Linked DNA regions of Ovis aries. The protein of the gene in region 1 binds, or shares a complex with, the protein of each later gene. Links are inferred from orthologs where the notes say so. Each region holds a gene or a part of one and is shown on either strand. Other genes may lie near its edges.

The links.
Region 2: POLR2B (region 1) and GTF2H5 share a complex: the UniProt entries of both Homo sapiens proteins name them as parts of the TBP-based Pol II pre-initiation complex. The link is inferred for Ovis aries from reciprocal best matches to the Homo sapiens genes POLR2B and GTF2H5.

The regions. Positions count from the first base shown.
Region 1 is NC_056059.1:73,135,964-73,146,524, forward strand, and holds part of POLR2B (DNA-directed RNA polymerase II subunit RPB2), read left to right. Parts: intron 1-1,979; coding exon 1,980-2,076; intron 2,077-3,214; coding exon 3,215-3,309; intron 3,310-4,302; coding exon 4,303-4,553; intron 4,554-4,633; coding exon 4,634-4,723; intron 4,724-5,194; coding exon 5,195-5,302; intron 5,303-6,720; coding exon 6,721-6,834; intron 6,835-7,247; coding exon 7,248-7,408; intron 7,409-10,219; coding exon 10,220-10,415; intron 10,416-10,561. UniProt on the Homo sapiens protein: Catalytic core component of RNA polymerase II (Pol II), a DNA-dependent RNA polymerase which synthesizes mRNA precursors and many functional non-coding RNAs using the four ribonucleoside triphosphates as substrates.
Region 2 is NC_056061.1:82,449,195-82,460,208, forward strand, and holds the start of GTF2H5 (general transcription factor IIH subunit 5), read left to right. Parts: upstream 1-5,413; 5' UTR 5,414-5,422; coding exon 5,423-5,474; intron 5,475-6,315; exon of another isoform or gene 6,316-6,335; coding exon 6,336-6,399; intron 6,400-11,014. UniProt on the Homo sapiens protein: Component of the general transcription and DNA repair factor IIH (TFIIH) core complex, which is involved in general and transcription-coupled nucleotide excision repair (NER) of damaged DNA and, when complexed to CAK, in RNA transcription by RNA polymerase II.

The DNA.
Region 1 (10,561 bases):
GATTAGTAATAGTGGTGGTTGTATCCTCTCTGTTTTACAATTGTGGAGACAGGATCAGAAAGGTTATCTCCCCGAAGTTGTACAACTTATTTTGTAAACCCAGAATGCAAACTCTGGCTTTTTTTAAGACCAGAAATAGGTCTTTCCCCCATTTTCCTTTTTTGTTCTCTTTCCTCTTCACTACACTGTTTTTTGATTTGGGGCTTTTAAGCTAAGAAGAATGTATTAGAAATAAAACTCAGAAGTTTACTGCTTTTAGCTAAATTTAGCTGATCTTTCAGACTTGCCTGCGTACCTTGGATCAAGGTTGTAGGATGGAGGGGATTGCTTCCTGGGATGTAGTAGATATAGCGTGTGTGGGCTGTCAGGGGTTGTCACAGCAGAGGAGGAAAGTCCTACAAGGGCCAAGACCATTTAGCACCTACAGGCTATGTCACCTGATGAGAGGGAGGGCCATAGGTAGCACTGTATGTTGTGAGGATGTACAAGGGAAATCTTGCCCATTCCATGTATCACAAACGTCACGTAAATCCTGCTGCTGGCTTCCATAGCAGTAGGAGTGAGCACATCACATCTCCCAAGACCCTGGGATTTCTGCAAATTGTCATCTATCTTCAGATTCCCCCCTACCTTGAGGATCCGGCATCTTTATGTACTTTCTCTGCATTTTACAGCTTGACCATGTTGATGGACACTTATGTTGCTTCCATACCTTAGCTATTATAGATAGTGCAGTTATGAACATTGGGGTGCATGTGTTTTTTTGAATTCGCATTTTCATCTTTTCTGGATATATGCCCAGGAGTGGAATTGCTGGATTTTGTGGTAACTCTTATTTTGTTTTGTTTTTTCTTTAGTTTGCTAGTATTTTGTTCAGGATTTTTGTGTCTGTGTTCATCAGGCATACTGGCCTGTAATTTTCTCTTTTTGTGGTATCTTTCTCTGGTTTTGGTATCAGGGTCATGGTGATCTCATAGAATGAATGAGTTTAGGAGTGTTCTGTTCTCTGCAACTGTTTGGAATAGTTTCAGGAGGATAGGTCTTAATTCTTCTCTGAATGTTTGCCTCTGTAGCCATCTGGTCCTACTCTTTTGTCTGTCGGAAAATTTTAAATCACAGTTTCAATTTTAGTACTTGGGATTTGTCTGTTCATATTTTCTAGTTCTCCCTGGTTCAGTCTTTTTCTAAGAATTTGTCCATTCATTTTATTGGCATATAGTCATAGTAATCTCTTCTGACTCCTTATATTTGTGTGGTGTCAGTTGTAGCTTGTCTGTTTTCATCTGATTTTTGATTTGTGCCCTCACCCTTTTTTTCTTGATGAGTGTGGCTAAAGGTTTATCAGTTTTGTTTGTCAATACTTGATACTTTAAGTCTTAAGGTCTCATCAAAAATAGTTTTGAAAAAAAAAAATAGTTTTGGAGGTAGCAACTAAATAAAATTGAGGTAGAAAAGGTAACACCACTTTTCTTTGTAGTATAGGGAGAGGATCTAGGAGCAGAGCAGGGCTGCGAAGAGAGGGATAGAGTGGTACCAGGTCAAACTCAAGGTCAGCAGACAAGAGCTGGGACGTGAATCTATTGCTTATTAACTTTGAGATCATGGATAAGTTTTGTTAGATCTTTCTAATACGCAAATAATAATAATAATGCCTTGTTTATGGCACAGGGTTGTGGTGAGAATCATGAAACCTGGTTGGGGGAGGGACTTTATAAATATACGGTTACATGTATATAATCACTGACTAGAAAGTGGATACAGTGGGAGTGACTACTATTAGGATTTGCGTATATTAAACATTTAACCATCAGAGTAGTTTTCTCACAGATTGCTCTTCCAGGAGGAGTAGACTTTGGCAGTTACCATGGTGAAAACATCTGTGGTAAATGTAGTTAAATAGGATAGATTTAAAAGAAAGAGGTAATTTTTCTTTGTTTCTCATGTGATGCTTTAATGTTTGCTATTTGAATATACTACAGGTATCAACTCAATTGTAGCCATTGCATCATACACTGGATATAATCAAGAAGACTCTGTTATCATGAATCGTTCAGCTGTAGACAGAGGCTTTTTCAGGTCAGCTATTTATAACAGATTCCAAAATACAGATATAGTGGAAATACTAATATTTTAATTTTTTAAAAAAGTTTTTTAAAAATAGCTGTGGGAACTTCCCTGGTGGTCCAGTGGTTAAGACTCTGTACCTCCAATGCGGAGGGCATCATTCCCCTGGTTGGGGAACTAACATCCCACGTATCACGTGGTACAGTCAAAAAGAAAAAAATAAAGGTGTGACTTGTGTGTGTCCAAATTTTTTGGTGGTTTTGAATGTCAGGCAAGAAGAAATTTTGATCTGACAGCAGAGAAATTTTTCTGTTAAGATAGGTAATCTGTCTCCATTCATAAAACTTGTGGATGCCTGTCAGACATAGGTTGTTGTATGGTTGCCTGTATAGGGGTTAAAATGGTGAAGTCAGTGTCCTGCTCCAGAAAGTGGAAGGCCTGACTGATGGTCCTGAACAGCTAAAGATTGTTTCTTGTATCTGAGTATTTTCAGGTACTAATATTTTAGCGCCCCCCCTCCACCTTTTTTTGTAAGCAAAAAAATACTTGCATTTAGATAATATAGAAGTATCTAAAGAAGAAGTAAAGATAAACCTAAGAGTTTTAGGACCCTTAAATAACTACTGTTAAAATTATAGTATGTTTTCTTTTTCAGTCTAATTTTCTGTTATTCAGTTTGATTGTCAAACATTAATCACAAATCCATGGCATGTGAAAATTGGTTAAAAAACTGAGAATTTAGAAGAGAGGATAGATTTTTTTTCTGTATAGTTGTCAGAGGATATCAGACCAGAGTTGGACATTATAGCTTAATATCATAAATTTCTCAGTAGAAATACTGGGGCAGATCCTGGGTGACCATCTCTGAGGGTTGTTATGGGAGGGATTCTTATTTTAGGTCGAGGGTTGGACTTAGTATTCCTGTTCTCACAGTTCAAGCTGTGTTAAGGATCAAATGTTACATGGGTGACCTGTGTACTAGCTCTTAGGACTTAAGTTTGACCCTCATACAGTTAACTCCTGTCCTAGATTCATAGTTTAATTGCTATGGTTAAAATTATCAGATATCAACTAAGTAAAAATTATTGGTGTGTTCTAAGTTGTATTATTAAAGGAAAATAAAGTTCACTTTAGAACCATGTATTTTTAGGTCTGTTTTCTATCGATCATACAAAGAACAGGAATCTAAAAAAGGGTTTGATCAAGAAGAAGTTTTTGAGAAGCCTACACGTGAAACTTGCCAGGGTAAGTGATACTGACAGTGAAATTATGGAATTCAAAGTTAACTCCTAATTAGTTTTTCTGGGTTTTGTCTTCCCACCCTTCTTTACGCAGTGTGGGAGTATGTTTGCTAGTCATTCTTAGAGCTTCTATTTAAGGAAATAGATATATTTGCCAGAAGTCTTTACACCTGGAGTGGCTTGCTATAGTCCTTCTATTCTGCTAGGTCCTGCATTGAGGAAAGGATTTAGGAAAGTAGAGAGGCCATATAATTGCATGGGACACACCCAGCCTCATTCTCACTTGTACCGTGTCCTGTCCCTTAGTTTATGTATTTTCATGGGAGCTTCCTCCCCTCTTCACATTCTGATGTGACCATAGTGTTTGTCTGGCCACAGTATATGTATATATTTAGCAGGTAAATAATGAGAGAATGTCTACAACTTTGTTTCTTTTGAAAAACTCAGATTTATTTTCTAGTTACTATTTTTACAGACATTTATAAGCTATATACAGCTTTTGGGATGGATGGGATGTCCTGGGGGAATATCTGCTACAGTTTTGGCTTCTAATAGTATTGCATGAAGTAAAACGTTTTTGTACTCACATTTCCTGTGGGTGCTTCTGTGTAGCAGTGAACTGATTTTTAGTGGAGTTAAGGTTACAGTTTAGATTTCAAGTTTTCTGTGGGAGATTTTGTATAGAGGACATAGATAACTCTTTCTCATGTAATATAGGGAGCAAAAGATGGCAACACATTTATCCAAAGTCACTTAGCAAATGGAGAATTGATTTTCCAGTACTCAGTCCAATGCCTTTTTTTAAAGTTCAGAATCGTTTGTAATGTTTGGAATAAGGGCATGTTACTGTAACGTGTTAGATATTCCTATGAACTTCTCTCTGGTTAAAACTGATGTATATATTTGCTTTTTAATCTTTTTGAGAGAGGGAGTATGTGACATTTTAAATACTTTTCTTTATGGTATTACCATTTCAGAAAATTCTCTTTCTTCTCAGGTATGAGACATGCTATTTATGACAAGCTGGATGATGATGGTTTGATAGCTCCTGGAGTTCGTGTGTCAGGAGATGATGTTATTATAGGCAAAACAGTCACCTTGCCTGAAAATGAAGATGAATTGGAGGGCACTAATAGACGCTATACAAAGAGAGACTGTAGCACTTTTCTCAGGACTAGTGAGACTGGCATTGTGGATCAGGTTATGGTAACTCTCAACCAAGAAGGATATAAATTTTGTAAAATAAGGGTAAGTATAGCTTTGTCATATTGTTGTTTATAGAAAGTAAACCAGAATGACCTAACTAACTTATTTTTATGTGAATTCAGGTACGCTCTGTTAGAATTCCACAGATTGGAGACAAATTTGCTAGTCGACATGGTCAAAAGGGTACTTGTGGTATTCAGTATAGACAGGAGGTAGGTATCTTTCATCACCTCTGACTCACAGTTTTATTGATCATTTTATTAAAATTTGCTTTAACTTAAGAGCCTAGAGGCAGTAAAGGCTTGACTTTGAATTGTAGTGCCGAACAAGTAGGTGAACATCTATGCTGAGGGCTTCCCAGGCGCTAGTGGTAAAGAACCTGCCTGCCAGTGCAGGAGACATAAGAACTGCAGGTTCGATCCCTGGGTTGGGAAGATCCCCTGGAGGAGGGCATGGCAACCCACTTTAGTATTCTTGCTTGGAGAATCCCATGGACAGAGGAGCCTGGCAGGCTACAGTCCATAGAGTCGTAAAGAGTCAGACACGACTGAAGCAACTTAGCATGTATACTGTGTTGAACAGAGTTTAGGACATAGCAAAGTTCAGATGAAAGAGAATCAGTTCTAGTTCTATAGCTAAGAGATTTAAGTTTTTCAAGTGTCTTTTAAAAAATTCCTTTATAGGATATGCCTTTCACCTGTGAAGGTATCACCCCCGATATCATCATAAATCCCCATGCCATCCCCTCTCGTATGACCATTGGTCACTTGATTGAATGTCTTCAAGGGAAGGTAAGAGATTTTCTTTACAGATATAGGTCTCAAATTGATGTTTCTTCCAAAGTGTTAGGTGATTTCTCTCATTCTTAGTCAGGGTACTGTGGAAAAAGCCAGTGTGACACTACTTTCCTGCTTTTAAGTTGGTTTATGTCTGTCTGTCTGTTTGCAAAAATTTGCAAAGTTATGACTAAAAATTCTTGCAAAATTTACTATATCCAGTCTTTGAATATGTGGTTATTCTTTTGACTGGTTCTTTTCTATAAGTGGTGGTTAGTTCATTGTGAACCTAATGGTTTTATAGCTGTAATATTAGCTATGCATGTGTCTTTCAGTGGAGGTTTTCTATTTTTAAGGATCTTATTAAGGTAGAGTAGCTACAGCTTTTATGCACTGGAGAAGGAAATAGCAACCCACTCCAGTATTCTTGCCTGGAGAATCCCAGGGACAGAGGAGCCTGGTGGGCTGCCATCTGTGGGGTTGCAGAGAGTCGGACACGACTGAAGCGACTTAGCAGCAGCAGCAGCGGCTACAGCTTAACACATGGATGACTTGGTTGTAAGGATTAAAATGTCATCTTCCTTGAGTCATAGGAAATATTTGAGAGTCTCATTCTTTTTGTATGTGGTCTCACAGAGAGCTTCCTATTTGAAGACTTAATAGGTAGTTCTGTTTTATGTAAGATGCTAATAAAATGAACCTTATGATGTTACAGCTTTCCATAACAGATATTTAAGTTAATTTGTAATCTTAAGTTCAAAATCTTCCCTTTTTTTTTTTTTTTGCATTCTTGCACAGTTTTAATTCAATTCTTGCAGCACCCAAGTAGGTGAGTTAGTGACAGTGTTAACAGGACATATTCAAAGATCCAGAAGCTAGGAGTAGAAGTGAGTTGGAATGCTCCTTACCATGGTGACCCCAATTCCATGACCCCAATCTTCCCTTTCTTAAAAAGGTTGTTTTTTTTTTTTTTAGCTGACTATATTTGTATTAACATAGACTTCTAAAGAGAGACAGAAGGAAGCAACCTTTTTTTTTTTTTTTTTAGTTTTTTATTTTTTAAATTTTAAAATCTTTAATTCTTACATGCGTTCCCAAACATGAACCCCCCTCCCACCTCCCTCCCCACAACATCTCTCTGGGTCATCCCCATGCACCGGCCCCAAGCATGCTGCACCCTGCGTCAGACATAGACTGGTGATTCAATTCTTACAGGATAGTATACATGTTAGAATTCCCATTCTCCCAAATCATCCCACCCTCTCCCTCTCCCTCTGAGTCCAAAAGTCCGTTATACACATCTGTGTCTTTTTCCTGTCTTGCATACAGGGTCGTCATTGCCATCTTCCTAAATTCCATATATATGTGTTAGTATACTGTATTGGTGTTTTCCTTAGGAAGCAACCTTTTAAACATTACTTTTCTTTTTAAAGGTATCAGCTAACAAGGGTGAAATTGGTGATGCCACTCCATTCAATGATGCTGTTAATGTGCAGAAGATTTCTAATCTTCTATCTGATTATGGCTACCATCTCAGAGGAAATGAGGTATGTTTGCTTTTACATTGGTAATTTGTTAAGTATATTCTTTTTTTGCACGTGTGTTATTTCATTCTTAAAAAAATAAATCTTTCATTGAAGTATACCACATACTTCAAATATATACATAAACCATAAATGTTCAGGTTGATAAAATTTTCACCAAGTGAACACAGGTGTGACTGGCACCCAGATCTTGAAAAGAAAATTATCAGAATCCTTTTATCCCTGATGCTCTCTTGTGTCTCCTTCCAGTCACTACCTTCATACCCCCACCCCAAGGTAATTACTCCTTTTACAGCATAGATTATTTTAGTCTGTTTTGATTTGTTTAGAAATGGAATTGTATAGTATATGTCCATATATACTTTGAACTTGTTTAGTAATTTTTAAGTCTGTATTTAAAAATCTGCTTGTTTCAGGTCTTATACAATGGATTCACTGGTCGAAAAATCACATCACAGATTTTTATTGGCCCCACTTACTACCAGCGTTTGAAGCACATGGTGGATGATAAGATTCATTCTCGTGCTCGGGGACCTATTCAGATTCTTAATAGACAGCCGATGGAGGGTAGATCTCGGTAAGAGAGCTGCATCATTGATCTTATATAAAAGAATGGTTCTAATATTTCTTGATTCCAGGATCCTAAAAGGGAGTTGGTATCTTTTGATATTTATCATGTTAGAAATTAAAACCGAGAAAGGTTTAAAATATTTATTACTTGGTTTAAAAAATAACAGTAACAAATTCGTTATACATTAACATAAATAACATTTTAAGTGAAAAGTATTTTCCAGATAAATTTAGTGATAAAGTGACATTGGTTTATCTTTTTGCAAATCTTCTTAATGAACTGGTTTGTGAGAAGATAGCTAGATTCTTGATTCTTGTGTTTGCTTCTGCATTTAATCCATTGCAGGATTTTATTTTTTATAATTAACTATGTGACCTCACACAGATTTATGGTTGAAAGGGAAGAATATTATAGTAACTTTCAGGTGACTGGATTTTTTTTTTGATGCTGCACTAGAGTGACAAGTTGTCCTTTCTAAAGGTTAGTTGTGATGTAGAATTTGGAACTACTTAAATGAATCTTTTATGTTGAAATCCATTGGCCTGTCTTATACTTTGAGTGTATCTTTTATACTTATGTAGTTTCATAGTCTCATAATTGGTTATTTGAAAAATATTTTCATTGAGTTGTGTAGATTTTTACATGTTGACACATTTCATTATATCAAAAAACAAATTTCACATTTGTGAATATCACCACCATGTCATCAGAAAGTTTTTAAGTATTGGGAGGTTATCAAGCTCAGAGGGTTGGATAGAGGTTTTCTTTTTCTAAAATTCTCCTCTTTGATTGAAACACTAATTTTTAATGATTTACAACAAATCTTTAAAATTGTTTTCCTTGAGTGAAAAAAATGTCTGCCAAATATCTTAAGGCTGAATTAACATAGTTGGTGCTATTGTTGGCAAATTAACATGATTGGTGTCAGCTGTTTTTTCAAGTATAAAAGATATTTCATGATAAAAGTGACTACTTCAAAATTGTGCAAGCACTTTATTTCAAGACCACCATCTTTAATATACAACTAAAGTACCTTATGAGAACTCTTTTATCAGACTGTTAAAAACTATGTACTCAGGAGTCAAAGTTAAATAAAACTAATCATTTTTAATTGCTTCATTAATGACATACTTTATATAAAACTGGTTTTCTCACCCTTCAGATACACTGGCGAATATGACTGCTAGTAAAGTATGGTTCTACCCACCTGATGTGTTCGGGTGCCAGCAGTTTATTCAGTTACTTTGGCAACTGTCAGTGCAAATGTCAATACAGTGAAAGAAGCAAATGTGTCATTAGTTTTATTATAAAAACTGTTTTCACCCTTAAGAGTCCACAGACCACACTCTCAGAACTCCTGCTTTAGAAAATAGGAAAGTTATAAAAGCAATCACAGTACCTCCTTAATATTAAATATCTAGTGTTTAGATTTTCTTGACAGTTGCATAGTTTTTAAAAAACATTTGTTGGTTTCATTTAGGATACAAATAAGGCTCATGGTTTGTAGCTGATTGATATGTCTCAAGTTTTTTTCTTAATCTGTCGGTTACCCTTTAACTTTTTTTTCTTGCACTTTATTTGTTGGATTGTTTGTTGTGGAGGGTTTCTCACAGACTGGATTTTTTGAATTGTGGGATCTTAGTTCTCCAACCAGAGGTTGAACCTGGGTGCCAGCAATGAAAGCGCCGAGTCCTAACCACTGGACTGCCAGGGAATTCCCTCTCACAGTCTGGATTTTTGTTGATTGCATTCCTGGGCTGTGTGTGCCTATTTCTTGTAAATAGCTAATTGGATTTAGAGCCTTGATGAGGTGAAGGGTTTGTGTTCTTTAATAGTAATACTTAAAAGGCAGTATTCAAAATTGTATACTTTCCATATCTGGTTGTTTTTCTTTTGTGACTTTAGTAGCTGTTAATGTTCAGTACCTAAAACCTTTAATTAAATAGGGATTGCAGACTGATGAGATTCTAATTTTATCATTCCTTCATTTATTAGCTGGAATACTTTCATAGAGAGAAATTTTGTTTCATCATCTGGTTACCTGGTGACATAGTTTTCATATAGTAAAAGACATGATAAATGCTCAATTCTTTCCTTTTATTTACCAGTTTTCAAAATGATGAGTCAGTTACTTAGAATCCTCTAAAGCTGACCAAGTGTTTTGCTTTTGGTAGTATCATTAGAAGCTCTTTAATCATATGTATTTTATTAATATATATATATATATGTGTGTGTGTGTGTGTATATGTATTCCCATGAAACCATTCTTTATCTTTTATATAGAAGAATATTAAGGAAGCCATCACCATCTACTTGCCTGGCCATCAGAACAATGCATTTCATTTCACTTACTAAGCTGGGGAAACCTGTGACTGATTTCACCTCTTCTTTCCATTAGTTGTGCCAATGTGCATTTATTGTTTCAGGTTTGATTGCTTGGGAGTCTCATTCATGGAGAAGCTACTTTATTTAGATTAACTTTTATTATTAAATTTTTAGCATACAGATGAATTCAAATAAGTTAAATGGTAATGTTACAAGATTTTATTCTGTACGTCATTGTGTTTTATTTGAAAAAGTATATTTACTATATTTAAGAAACTAATGTGTGAACTCTGTTTGGGGACCTTCTAGTGCACATCAAATAGTTGGTAGCCTTCTTAGCCTCCTAACCATGCTGACAGAATACAAAAGTAGAAAAATTGGAGTCTAGTTCTCATTCTTTACTAATGCTACTTTTTATACTTGCCATTAGTCAAAGTGGTATTGATAATAGAAAATCAGTACAAAATAGCCTGTTGTTTCTTCCCATAATAGTGATGGTGGCTTGCGTTTTGGAGAGATGGAACGAGACTGTCAGATCGCGCATGGAGCAGCCCAGTTTCTAAGGGAGAGGTTGTTTGAGGCGTCAGATCCGTATCAGGTTCACGTTTGCAATCTTTGTGGAATAATGGCAATTGCGAACACCAGGACCCATACATATGAATGCAGGGGCTGCCGAAATAAAACCCAGGTATGTACAGACATTCCTAGCAGTTATTATCTATTCAGGATATAACCGTATTTGCCTCATCATCCAGGCAGATTGAGTGTGGTGAACAGATTGGTGTTTTCACAATTTTGGTAGCATTTTTCTATAAGATTCCTGGTTTTAAATGA
Region 2 (11,014 bases), on another chromosome or scaffold:
GTGGATGTTAGCAATTTGATCTCTGGTTCCTCTGTCTTTTCTAAATCCAGCTTGTACATCTGGAAGTTCTCAGTTCACATACTGCTGAAGCCTAGCTTGAAGGATTTCGAGAATCAACTTGCTAGCATGTGAAATGAGTGCAATTGTATGGTAGTCTGAATATTCTTTGGCATTGCCCTTCTTTGGGACTGGAATGAAAACTGGCCTTTACCAGTCTTGTGGCCACTGCTGAGTTTTCCAAATCTGCTGGCATATTCACTGCAGCACTTTAAAAGCATCATCTTTCAGGATTTTAAATAGCTCAGCTGGAATTTTGTCACCTCCATAAGCCTTGTTTGTAATAATGCTTCCTAAGGCCCACTTGACTTCATCAAAATTGGGAAAGGTACGTTAAGGCTATTTTAAAAAGGTTAAATAAGCAGGTGTGTCACCCTGCTTATTTAACTTCTATGCAGAGTATACCATGCGAAATGCTAGGCTGGGTGACTCACAAACTGGAATGAAGATCACAGGGAGAAATATCAACAACCTCAGATATGCAAATGATATGACTTTAATGGAAAAAAGTGAAGAGGAACTAAAGAGCCTCTTGATGATGAAGGTGAAAGAGGAGAGTGAAAAAGTTGCCTTAAAACTCAACAATCAAAAAACTAAGATCATGGAACCTGGTCCCATCACTTCATGGCAAACAGAAGGGGAAAAAGTGGAAACAGTGACAGATTTTCTTGGGCTCCAGAATCACTGCAGACAGTGACTGCAACCATGAAATTAAAAGATGTTTGCTCCTTAGAAGGAAAGCTATGAAAAACCTAGACAGCATATCAAAAAGCAGAGACACCACTTTGCTTTTGACAAACATCCGTATAGTCAAAGCTATGGTTTTTCCAGTACTCATGTATGGATGTGAGAGTTGGACCATAAAGAAGGCTGAGTGCTGAAGAATTGATGCTTTTGAACTGTGGTCCTGGAGAAGACTCCTGAGAGTCCCTTGGTCTGCAAGGAGATCAAACCAGTCAATCCTAAAGGAAATCAACCCTGAATATCCATTGGAAGGACTGATGCTGAAGCTAAAGCTCCAATACTTTGGCCACCTGATGTGAAGAGCCAACTCACTGGAAAGATTGAGGGCAAGAGGAGAAGTGGGTGACAGAGGATGAGATGATTGGATGGCATCACTAACTCAACGGACACGAGTCTGAGAACACTCCAGGAGACAGTGAAGGACAAGGAAGCCTCGTGTGCTGCAGTTCATGTGGTCACAAAGAGTTGGACATGACTGAGTGGCTGAACAACAACAGATTTGGACACCAGTTTCCATGTTGAGCTGCACTTTGGAATGCAACATTTGGTTCCACCTAAGGTGGTCAGTGGGATTCAGAGATCATTTACAGTAATGACCTTCATATAAGATAACATACAGTATATGGGAAACGGAAGGTTCTGCTGAGAAAGAAATCCATAATGAGACAGTCATTCTATCATTGATGGGTTATTGTAATAACACCTTCTGTATGAATGATACAGAAGTTTGGTGCAATTACAGTAGAGTCAGGAAACAGTAATTTAAAAAAGTAAAATGTATAGTAACACTGATGTAGACAACTATATGAACAGGAACTCCCCCTCCCCCACCCCTCCCCATTCCACTCTATTGTGGAAGTTGAGGACAGCTGGCCTGAGGACAAATAGAAGGAAAAATCTGAACTCATCTAGCAGATTTTGCCAAAGAATGCTAAAGAATTCCACTGAGTACAGATAACGATAGACAAGGGAGGAGAGAGAATAGTGCAACTTTTCCCAGGCAGACTATGCAAACACCGTTCAGTAATCAGTGGGCTTTCCTGTCTTTTCCAGTCCACGGGAAATTCTGATTAAAGAGAAGGCCACATTGTAGACCAGAAACCAAAGCTAACTTTAACCAACTTTTTTTTTTATGTGAATCACTTAATTTATAAAAAGCAAATGTTTGTGACCGCTCTGTACCACTTCTGCACCTGCCCACATCTTAAAAGATGGCCCCTCTGAGTTTCCATGTTACAGAACATGGCACTTCCTTGTCAGTGACTCAGATGCACCACAGTCACTTTCCTTTGGCATCCCACCCAAACTGCGTTTCCAATCCTTTAAACTTACAAACAACAACAAAATACAACTCCATGGCAAGGCTTCCTTACAGTGTATGTATATAGACGGATAAACACACACATATGTATGTATGCATATATATGTAAAGTATATTCCAGTTTGTGACTTGCCTATTCATTGTTATAAACGTACCTTCTGTTGAACAGAAATTTTAATTTTCATAACATCTCTTTAACCAAATTCTTTTTTCTTTTATAGTTGTTGCATTCTATGTCCTAGCTAAGAAATTTTTCTTGCCTACCTGAAAGTCACAAATATTCTATGGATTTGTCTAAAAGGCGTTTTGGTTTTCACTTTTACATTAAGGCTATGATCCATTTCAAATTAATTTTTTGATTTGAGTGAGATAGTTGAAGTTCATTTCTTCCCCCTCTATATGAATAGCCAATAGTCCCAGCATCATTTGTTGAAAACATTTTCCTATCCTCATTGAATTGACTTTGTGCCTTGGTTGAAAATCAATTGATTAAATAAGTATGGGCCTATTTCTGTACTACATTGCATTCCACTGATCTATTTGTGTACCCTCATGTAAAATCACACAGTACTGATTAATGCAGTTTTATAATACATCTTGGGGCTTTGCAGGTGGTGCTAGTGGTAAAGAACTTGCCTGCCAATGTAGGACACATAAGAGACTCGGGTTCGATTACTAACTAGTTAGTAATTCTGCTTCTGAAGACAAGCAGTAGTAATGGTGGCATGATAACATGAATATCCCTGAATTGCACTCTGTATGTGGTTAGGTAAATTTTATGTTACATGTATTTAACACAAAGAAACAAAAAAGAAATCTTTCCCAGAAACACCATAGTCTCCTATATTTTTTTCTAAATATTTTTCAGGTGTGTCTTTCACACTTAGGTCTTTAGTCCATTTGGAAACTGCTATTGTAAATGATGTGAAGTAGGAATCCAATTTTGTCTTAAATCTATATGGATACCACGTAGCTCAGCATCGTTTACTGAATACAGTGCTTTTATACTACTACTTGGCGGTATACTTCCATACGTATATGAGCATGTTTCTAAGCTCTCTCTTCTGTTCCATGGGTTTACTTTCCTATCCCTAAATCAAGACCAGTAATTAAGCCAGGAGTCTTGATTATTACGGCATTATATTGTTTTGATACCTAGAAGGCAGAGACTTTTTCTTCAAAATTGAGTGAGGAATTCCAGGTGCTCTGTCTTTTCATAGACATGTTAGGTTCAACATGTGAAGCTCCATGAAAAGCCATATTCCAATTTTAATAGGAATTTCAACAAATCTGTATATTTGGAGAAAATGGACATCTTTATGGTACTGAGTCTTCCTACCCCAAGAATATGGTGATAGTCACTCAGTTGTATCTGACTCTCTGCAACCCCATGGACTGTAGCCCGCCAGGCTCCTTTGTCCATGGAATTCTCCAGGCAAGAATATTGGAGTGGGTTGCCATTTCCTTCTCCAATGAATATGGTATATGGGTGCATTTACTTGGGTCTTCTTTAATGTGTTTCAATAGAGCATTATAATTTTCTCCTTAAAGGACAATGCACCTTTAGTTTGATCTATTTCCAGATACCTTCAGTTTTCAATACTGTTATGAATAGCATCTTTTTATTATTAAAATTCCCAGTTTTTGCTGGTGTGTAGAAGTTACTCTTTTATTCAGAAATCTGCTTGAACTGAAGGTCATTTTTGATGACCTCCTAACAAAAGCAGCCCTTCCAGTCCTTCTTTATCACATCCTATCAGTTAACCTTCTAGTTATCTGATTTTTAGTATCCTTTTCCCTGCCTATAATTAAGTTGCCAGCTCACCATTGTTAGTTCAATGTCTAGAATAGGGTCTGACATATACCGCACAAAATGTTTGTTGAATAAAAAAAAAATGGCGATTTTAAATCTAGATGATTTGGAAAAACACGGAAAGAAAAGCAGATTTTGAAGTGATGGTGAAGTGAGGTCTAATTCAGGTTGGGAGGCATTCTTTAGAGTTCTCACAGGTCATTAACGTGCAGGCATCTGACATCTGGCGCACAAGAATAGAGGTTTGACGGGATGGAACCGATGAGACAGTGAAAGAGGAAAATGCATTCAAGACGAAAAAAAACAATAAATTTAGGAACAACTATTGTTGGGGCAGATTAGAGAGAGGGAGGGAACGAGCATGCGCAACAGCATGGAAACCAACGGGAAAGATTTGAAGCAAAGAAAGAGGGAAATAAATGGAAGAGCTAGATTCCTAAATCACATGCACACACAATTGGAGAAGTACAATTTCACCTAAGGAACAGAAAGCAAGAAACCTCATTTCTCGACTGGTAAAAAAAACAATTAGAGCTCCAATACATTGTTGTTCAGTAGCTAAGTGGAGACCAACTCTTTGCAACCCTGTGGACTGCAGCATGCCAGGCTCTTTCTGTCTTCCCCTATCTCCCCGAGTTTGCTCAAGTCATATCCATTAGGTTGCGTGATGCTATCTAACCATCTCATCCTCTGTTTCCCTCCTCCTCCTGCCCCGTCTTTCCCAGCATCAAGATCTTTTCCAATGAGTGGACTCTTCGCATCAGGTGGCCAGAGTATTAGACTACAGATCCGAATCTGGAGAAGGAAGTAATTTTGGAACTCTCTGGGTCTTTCCTCCGGGCTCGGAGGACCCATCAGCATTCAATCTTATTCATCCTCTCGCGTCACAGCTATAGAAGCTGTGGTCTGAAAGGTTCCAATCTGAACGGCGGAGACTTGTTTCCTCCTCATTTTCACCATCCTTCCTGTGGCCGACGGTACCAGCAGGTGCTCTCTGGGCCTGGGACTGGAATTAAGAGGAGGGTGGCGACCGGGAAAGCAGAGCCGGGCTGCCGAGGCGGGGAAACAGGCCCTCACCTCACGCCCAGCGCCGGGTCAGCGGGTCAGCCAGGGGCCGCGCGCCCTCACTGGGGCGCCCCGACCGCGCCGAGTCGCCGCTCGCCCCACGGCCCGCAGTGCCCGGTTTCGCCTGCATCCGCCCCCCACCCACGAACCCAGCCCTACCTTCCTTACCTGCCGGCGCGCGGAGGCGGCCACAACCCCCTGGCCGTTCACGCAGGACCGAGTTCGCTGGGAGCCCGCCCCGGCCCACTGCTCCCAGTCCCCGCCCCTCTGCTCCCAGTCCCCGCCCCTCCACCGGCGGCGGGCGGCACGTGACCCCGCCCTCGTCTCGCCCCGCCCCCGCTATAAACCCCGCCCACAGCCCGCCTCCTCGCCGGGGCGCCCCACCCTCGAGGCCGTCGCTGTCGCGATGACGTAGAAGGCGCATGCGTACTCTGTTGTCGGTGCCTAGGCGCTGTGGGATCTGTGGGTGGAAAGGTACGTGGCGTCGGCCCTCGGAGCCGTAGGGGAGCCTGGCGTGCGTGGAAGTTCTGTGGGTTTCCAAGAAAAAAGGAGGGGAGGGGAAAGTCCTAGAAACCTGTCTTTCAGGTTGCGGGGATACAGGGTTCCGTCCTGTCTCTCTGACGAGGCCGGGCGGCTGCCCCGCGGCAGTTGAACTGTGCATTTCTTTTGCGGAGGGCGGGGGGGCGGGGGGGGGGCATTGCCCAGCGCCGAGGTGTGGAAGTTTAATAAGAGTTAATTTGGCGTGCGCTGAATGGGTTCCTTACCTTCGAGCGCACGTCACTGGGGTACATATTTTATTTGGCAATATAACACAAGATCTGGAGACTTGGATTGTTCTTTTTCTGCTGGTAGCTGCGACTTAAATCTTTTTGCTCCATCTCATCTGTAAAACGAGATGGTCGGAGCCCCCATATAATTTTTAAGGCCTCTTGCGAAGCTACCATTCTGTGACTCCTATCTCCCAGAATTTTACCTTTTATCGTATTTCTACGTGGGAAAAAGAAATATTTTAAATAATGTACTTGTTCTAAACCTGGATTGGCCACATTGCTGTGGAGTTAGGCCCCATTAGGCTTTCATTAGGAGTGACTGGGGTAGGATTTGTTTGCAAATAAGATTTGTGCATTGTTACTATCCCAAATAGACTCGTTTGAATTTTGTTAAAAGATCAGAATATCTGTATGTTTTCCTAATGTTAGCTCTATGTTTTTAATAGACTTCTATGTTTAGTCTTGGCGTTTAATTTTTTGCCTCTGTTCAGAAGTAAATCACCAAAGGATATTGAAGTTAATGCTTTTCTATTTTGTCACCTTAGGGTTTTGTTACCATTTTTAGGGTCATCAGCACCTTCTGACTGGGAAAAGATGGTCAACGTCTTGAAAGGAGTGCTTATAGAATGGTTAGTAGTTTTGATACTTATTAAGTTTTAAATCTGCACATTGAGTCTTTTTGTTTGTTTTGCACATTGAATCTTGATTTGCATGTGTACTGTTTCCAAAATCCATTTTGTTTTGTTCTTAAGATCTGAATGAATCAAGTCTTTCAGCTTTCTCAACTTCATTTTTCTTGTTTCTTAACTGGTGGGACAAATGTTGTTGCTAAGTTTCTTCCTAGTGCCAGTTTTCAGCATCTCTGTTGAATTGATGTCATTGGCGTTATTTCCAACAAGTTTTGGTCAGTGGCAGGCAGCATATATGTGAAATTAACCCTCTTTAGGGGAACAGTGCTTGTATTTTCAAGTCATCAGTGATTAACTAGAATTTTAGGGCCTGCCAAAGTCACACAAACTTTGGTCTTTAAAAAAGAGAAAAAAACAGGAGAGCCAGTTGAAGGTTTCTTAAACTAGGCACACATTCCAAAGGAGAAACTAAAAGCTGTGGGCAGAGTTAGCTCCCGAGAGCTAAGGTGGGGCTCAATTATCCCCAGTTTGAAAATCTGAGCTGCTGGCCCAGTCTTGCTCAGTCTCTGCTTTTTTTTTTTTGCCTCACCAAATAGTTCTGTTTCACCTGGAAATCCTGCCCTGATTGTCTGAAAATACTACTGTCTACATTTCTTTACCTCTAATGTGAGCTATCATATGGGTGATGATACTGTCTCTGTGGTGGCAATGTTCAGGGAGGAACAAGACCAAACCCTCGCATACTCTGACATTTCAAGCAGCACCATCCAGTAGAAATACAGCATGAGCCACATATTTAAAGTTTCTGGTAGCCACACTGAAAAGTAAAATGAAACAGGTGAAATTTATTTAACTCAGTATACCTGAAGTATTTCACCAGGTAAAAAATCCTCAAAGTTCAGATTAACACTTCAGAATCATAGTAAGTCTTTTTCCATACTATAGAGCTTCAAAATCCACTGTCTTCTGTACTCCTACAGCATAGTCACAGGCTAGCCATATTTCAGGTGCTCAGTAGTGATGTGTGACTAGTGGGCTGCTTTATGGATAGTGCAGATATAGCTTGAATGGAGAGACCACCAAACACAATTAAGAAAACAGCCAGTGAAGTGGGAGGGAACCTAAGGGAATGTTTCACTAAAGCAAGTAGGCTGTGTTAAGTGGTGGTAAGAGGTTGGATAAGATGAAGACACTGGAGGTCATTGATTTTTTTTATTTTTTTTAAATCAGAGCTCCAATAATTTTGTGGAAAGGTGGGATAGATACTTCAGAAAGGGGAAGGGAGGAAAGGAAGTGGAAACTGTCTTGACAGTGAACAAGTGAAGTCGCTTAGTCATGTCTGACTCTCTGCAACCCCATGGACTGCAGCACCCCAGGCTCTCCCCTCCATGGGATTTCCCAGGCGAGAATGCTGGAGTGGGTTGCCATTTCCTTCGCCAGGGGATCTTCCTGACCCAGGGATTGAAACCAGTTCTCCCGCATTGCAGGCAGATTTTTTACCATCTGTGCCACCTGGGAAGCAAAGGGATAGAGAAATGGGTTGGTCACAGAGGAAGGATTTGTTAAGATACTCTGCTGCTTGTTACTTTCACTATTTTAACGTGAGAGACTAGAACGTTTGGTGATGGAAGTAAACGCTAGAAATGAGAGAAACGTTCACTTGGGAAAGCCAAGGGACGGATCTAGATTCCAGAATTCCAAGCATACTGTGCTCTTGTCTTTTGGAAAACACTTCTGAGCTACTTTTTGTTTTTTATTTTTCTTATTACTTTGTCATAGCTAATAGAAACATTTTCCTGGTTGGTCTTTTAATGTTATTTTTAATTTATTTTTATTTTTTTTTAAATTTTTATTTTTACTTTATTTTACTTTACAATACTGGATTGGGTTTGTGTACACCCGTGGCGGATTCATGTCAGTATATGGTAATGTTATTTTTTTAACACAGAGGATCCACACACACATTGTCAGCTGTTTTTCCCTTTTATTTTTTCCAATTCTTCCAAATTTAATCTTCCTTCTGGATTTGATTGGTATTCACCTCTCTCCTAGGGTCTTCATATTTTCCTTTTGATTGATATTTTGTATTTCATTCACCTGGAATTTATTGAGAGAAAGGGCATATTAAATTAGCTGTCTTTTTTTTTTTTTTTTTTTGGTCAAATAGCTGAATAATTGTCCAATAACATTTATTTCCTTCCCTCATGATATGTGATGGCTCTTTTATCACGTCGTCTTTCTGTCCTTGCTACTGTCCTTGCTTTCTGTCCTTCCCTAATCCCATGCCACATCCATTTTTTGTCATTCTTACCTATTCAGGAATAACCTGGGAATAATTTAGTTTGTTTCCAAAATAGTCCTTTTGGAATGATGATTGGAATTGTATTACACACATGCATATATATTTTTTAATGATAGCTGGGAAGCACTTTAAAGAGCAAAACTTTCGGAGAATCATTAAAGTTTGGTGGTAGGCTTTCAGTTTTAGCCGTAAGAACAGAGAGTGCAAATTTGTAAGAGGAACTGAGGTATTTTTTCCTGATGGGGCAAGCTCCCACTGGTTTGCTTGTGACCAGCCTCAAAATTGTCCCTGGGCACTAGTGGCCTTCTGTCACCTTGTTTTTCCATGTATTGCCCAGACTAGCAGCACCAGCACCATCTGGAGCTTGTTAGGAAAAATTTCAGACCTCACCCCAAATCTCCTAAGTCAGAACTGTTCATACAAAAGGATTTTTACACAGTGCCCTTAATCAGCTGAAGTTTGGTAATCAGTTTTGCAGTGGAGAATTTTCTTGCCCCAGGACTAGATTTTATTTTTCAGATGGATGCTATCCTAGCAGGGGCTTCCCTTGTGGCTCAGTGGTAAAGAACCTGCCTGCCAGTGCAGGAGACCCAACAGACCCGGCCGGGTTTGATCCCTGTGTCAGGAAGATCTCCTGGAGTAGAAAATGGCAACCCACTCCAGTGTTCTTGCCTGAAAAATTCTGTGGACAGAGGAGCCTGGCAGTCTACCGTTCATGGGGTCATAAGAGTCAGACACAACTTAGTGACTAGGCAATAACAACTATCCTTGCAAAACTTAATTTTTCCCTTCATGGTGAAATCTAAAGTGTAGCCTGAACAATTTTTCAGAAGGGCAGCTGTCTTCCCAAAGATTCAGATCTTTCAAGAAGGCTCCAGACCTAAGCAATAATAGAGTCGTAAAGGGCATGGCCAGGGCCAGCGGCCTCCTTCATGAGTAGGTGCACCTGTTGGGGTGGTGGAACCTGAAAGAGTCCTTCAGTCCCCTCATGTCTATACGTGATGCCAAAGGGAAGACTGTTGATAATACAGCAGCAGCTGTGTACTTCTGTTTATCGTCTCATAATATTCACAGATGGTATGAAGCATTTAGGTGAATTGGAGTACAGATCTCCATTGAGAGATAAATAAACAGTGTATAACGTTGGCCATTTAGTCCCAACTGTCAGTGAATTGAAAAATTGAAAAGTACATGAATATAATAAGATTCTTTCTTCCCAACGCTTACCAAATACCAGAGGCTAAAGATTTTCTTGTGAAAACTTCCTGTTTGTTGGGATCCACTTCTGTCGTTGACTGCCAGCCTCACACCAAGAGTTTCCCGAGTGGAGCCAACCACAGCAGTTACTGAAGCAAGCCACATATGCTCAGCACATGTCTGCATCTGATTCCAGGTGCTCAAGCAGACCTCTGGTGTGATACTTAGCACAGTTGGTTTGGCAAGTGCTTCAGCAAGGAAGATTTGTAGTACAGGTGCAAATTCCAACCAGTTCACAGCACGAGCGCAAAGAATCTGGAGAAATAGGTAGTATTAGACCACTCTTGTCATTACACTTTTGGCTTCCAAACCTGCATTCTATATGAAAAGCAAATCAGAACTAAGGCCAAACCAGTCTAACCACTGTCCTATTCTTTCACAGTATTTATAGTATCTTTTGTGAGCCTTTGCTTTTTATTCTTAGCAAGGCCAAATTCACTGAAGTTTCTTGGGCACCCAGAACAATGCCTGAGATATATATATAGAGAGAGAGCTACTTAGTAAATATTTGTTTATTGAAAGAATTTTGGTAATAAAATTGAATCAAGGGGTATAATCTCACTTAAATTCCAGATGATTAGTGTTCCTTTGGAGCTTCTCTACTACGACAGTGAGAACTAGAGTGGGTCTTGATAGATTGAATTCAAGTTTCAGTACAGAAAAGGTTTGTACAATAGGCCTCCTTTTGGCAAGTTACATCAGAGTAGCTTTTTTTTTCTTTTAATTGGAGTATAGTTGATTTACAATGTTAATTTCAGGTTTACTGCAGAGTGATTTAGTTATACACAAAATTACTTTTTCTATGACTGTATTAATTGATCAGAAAAAAATAAAACATCAAGATGACTGGTGATTTTGTACCAGGTGAAGTTAAGCTGAAACGTTAATTTGACTTAAAGGCAATTAAAAACAACAAACACTTGAGTAATGCACATGTAATAGGAGATGGCTAAAATGGCAAGGGGATAGTCTGCAAATGGCAGAAATTTTGAAAACACTGACCTATTGGTTAAAAGCACAGATGTGAGTCCCCTGGCACTTCTTGGTTTCAGTTTG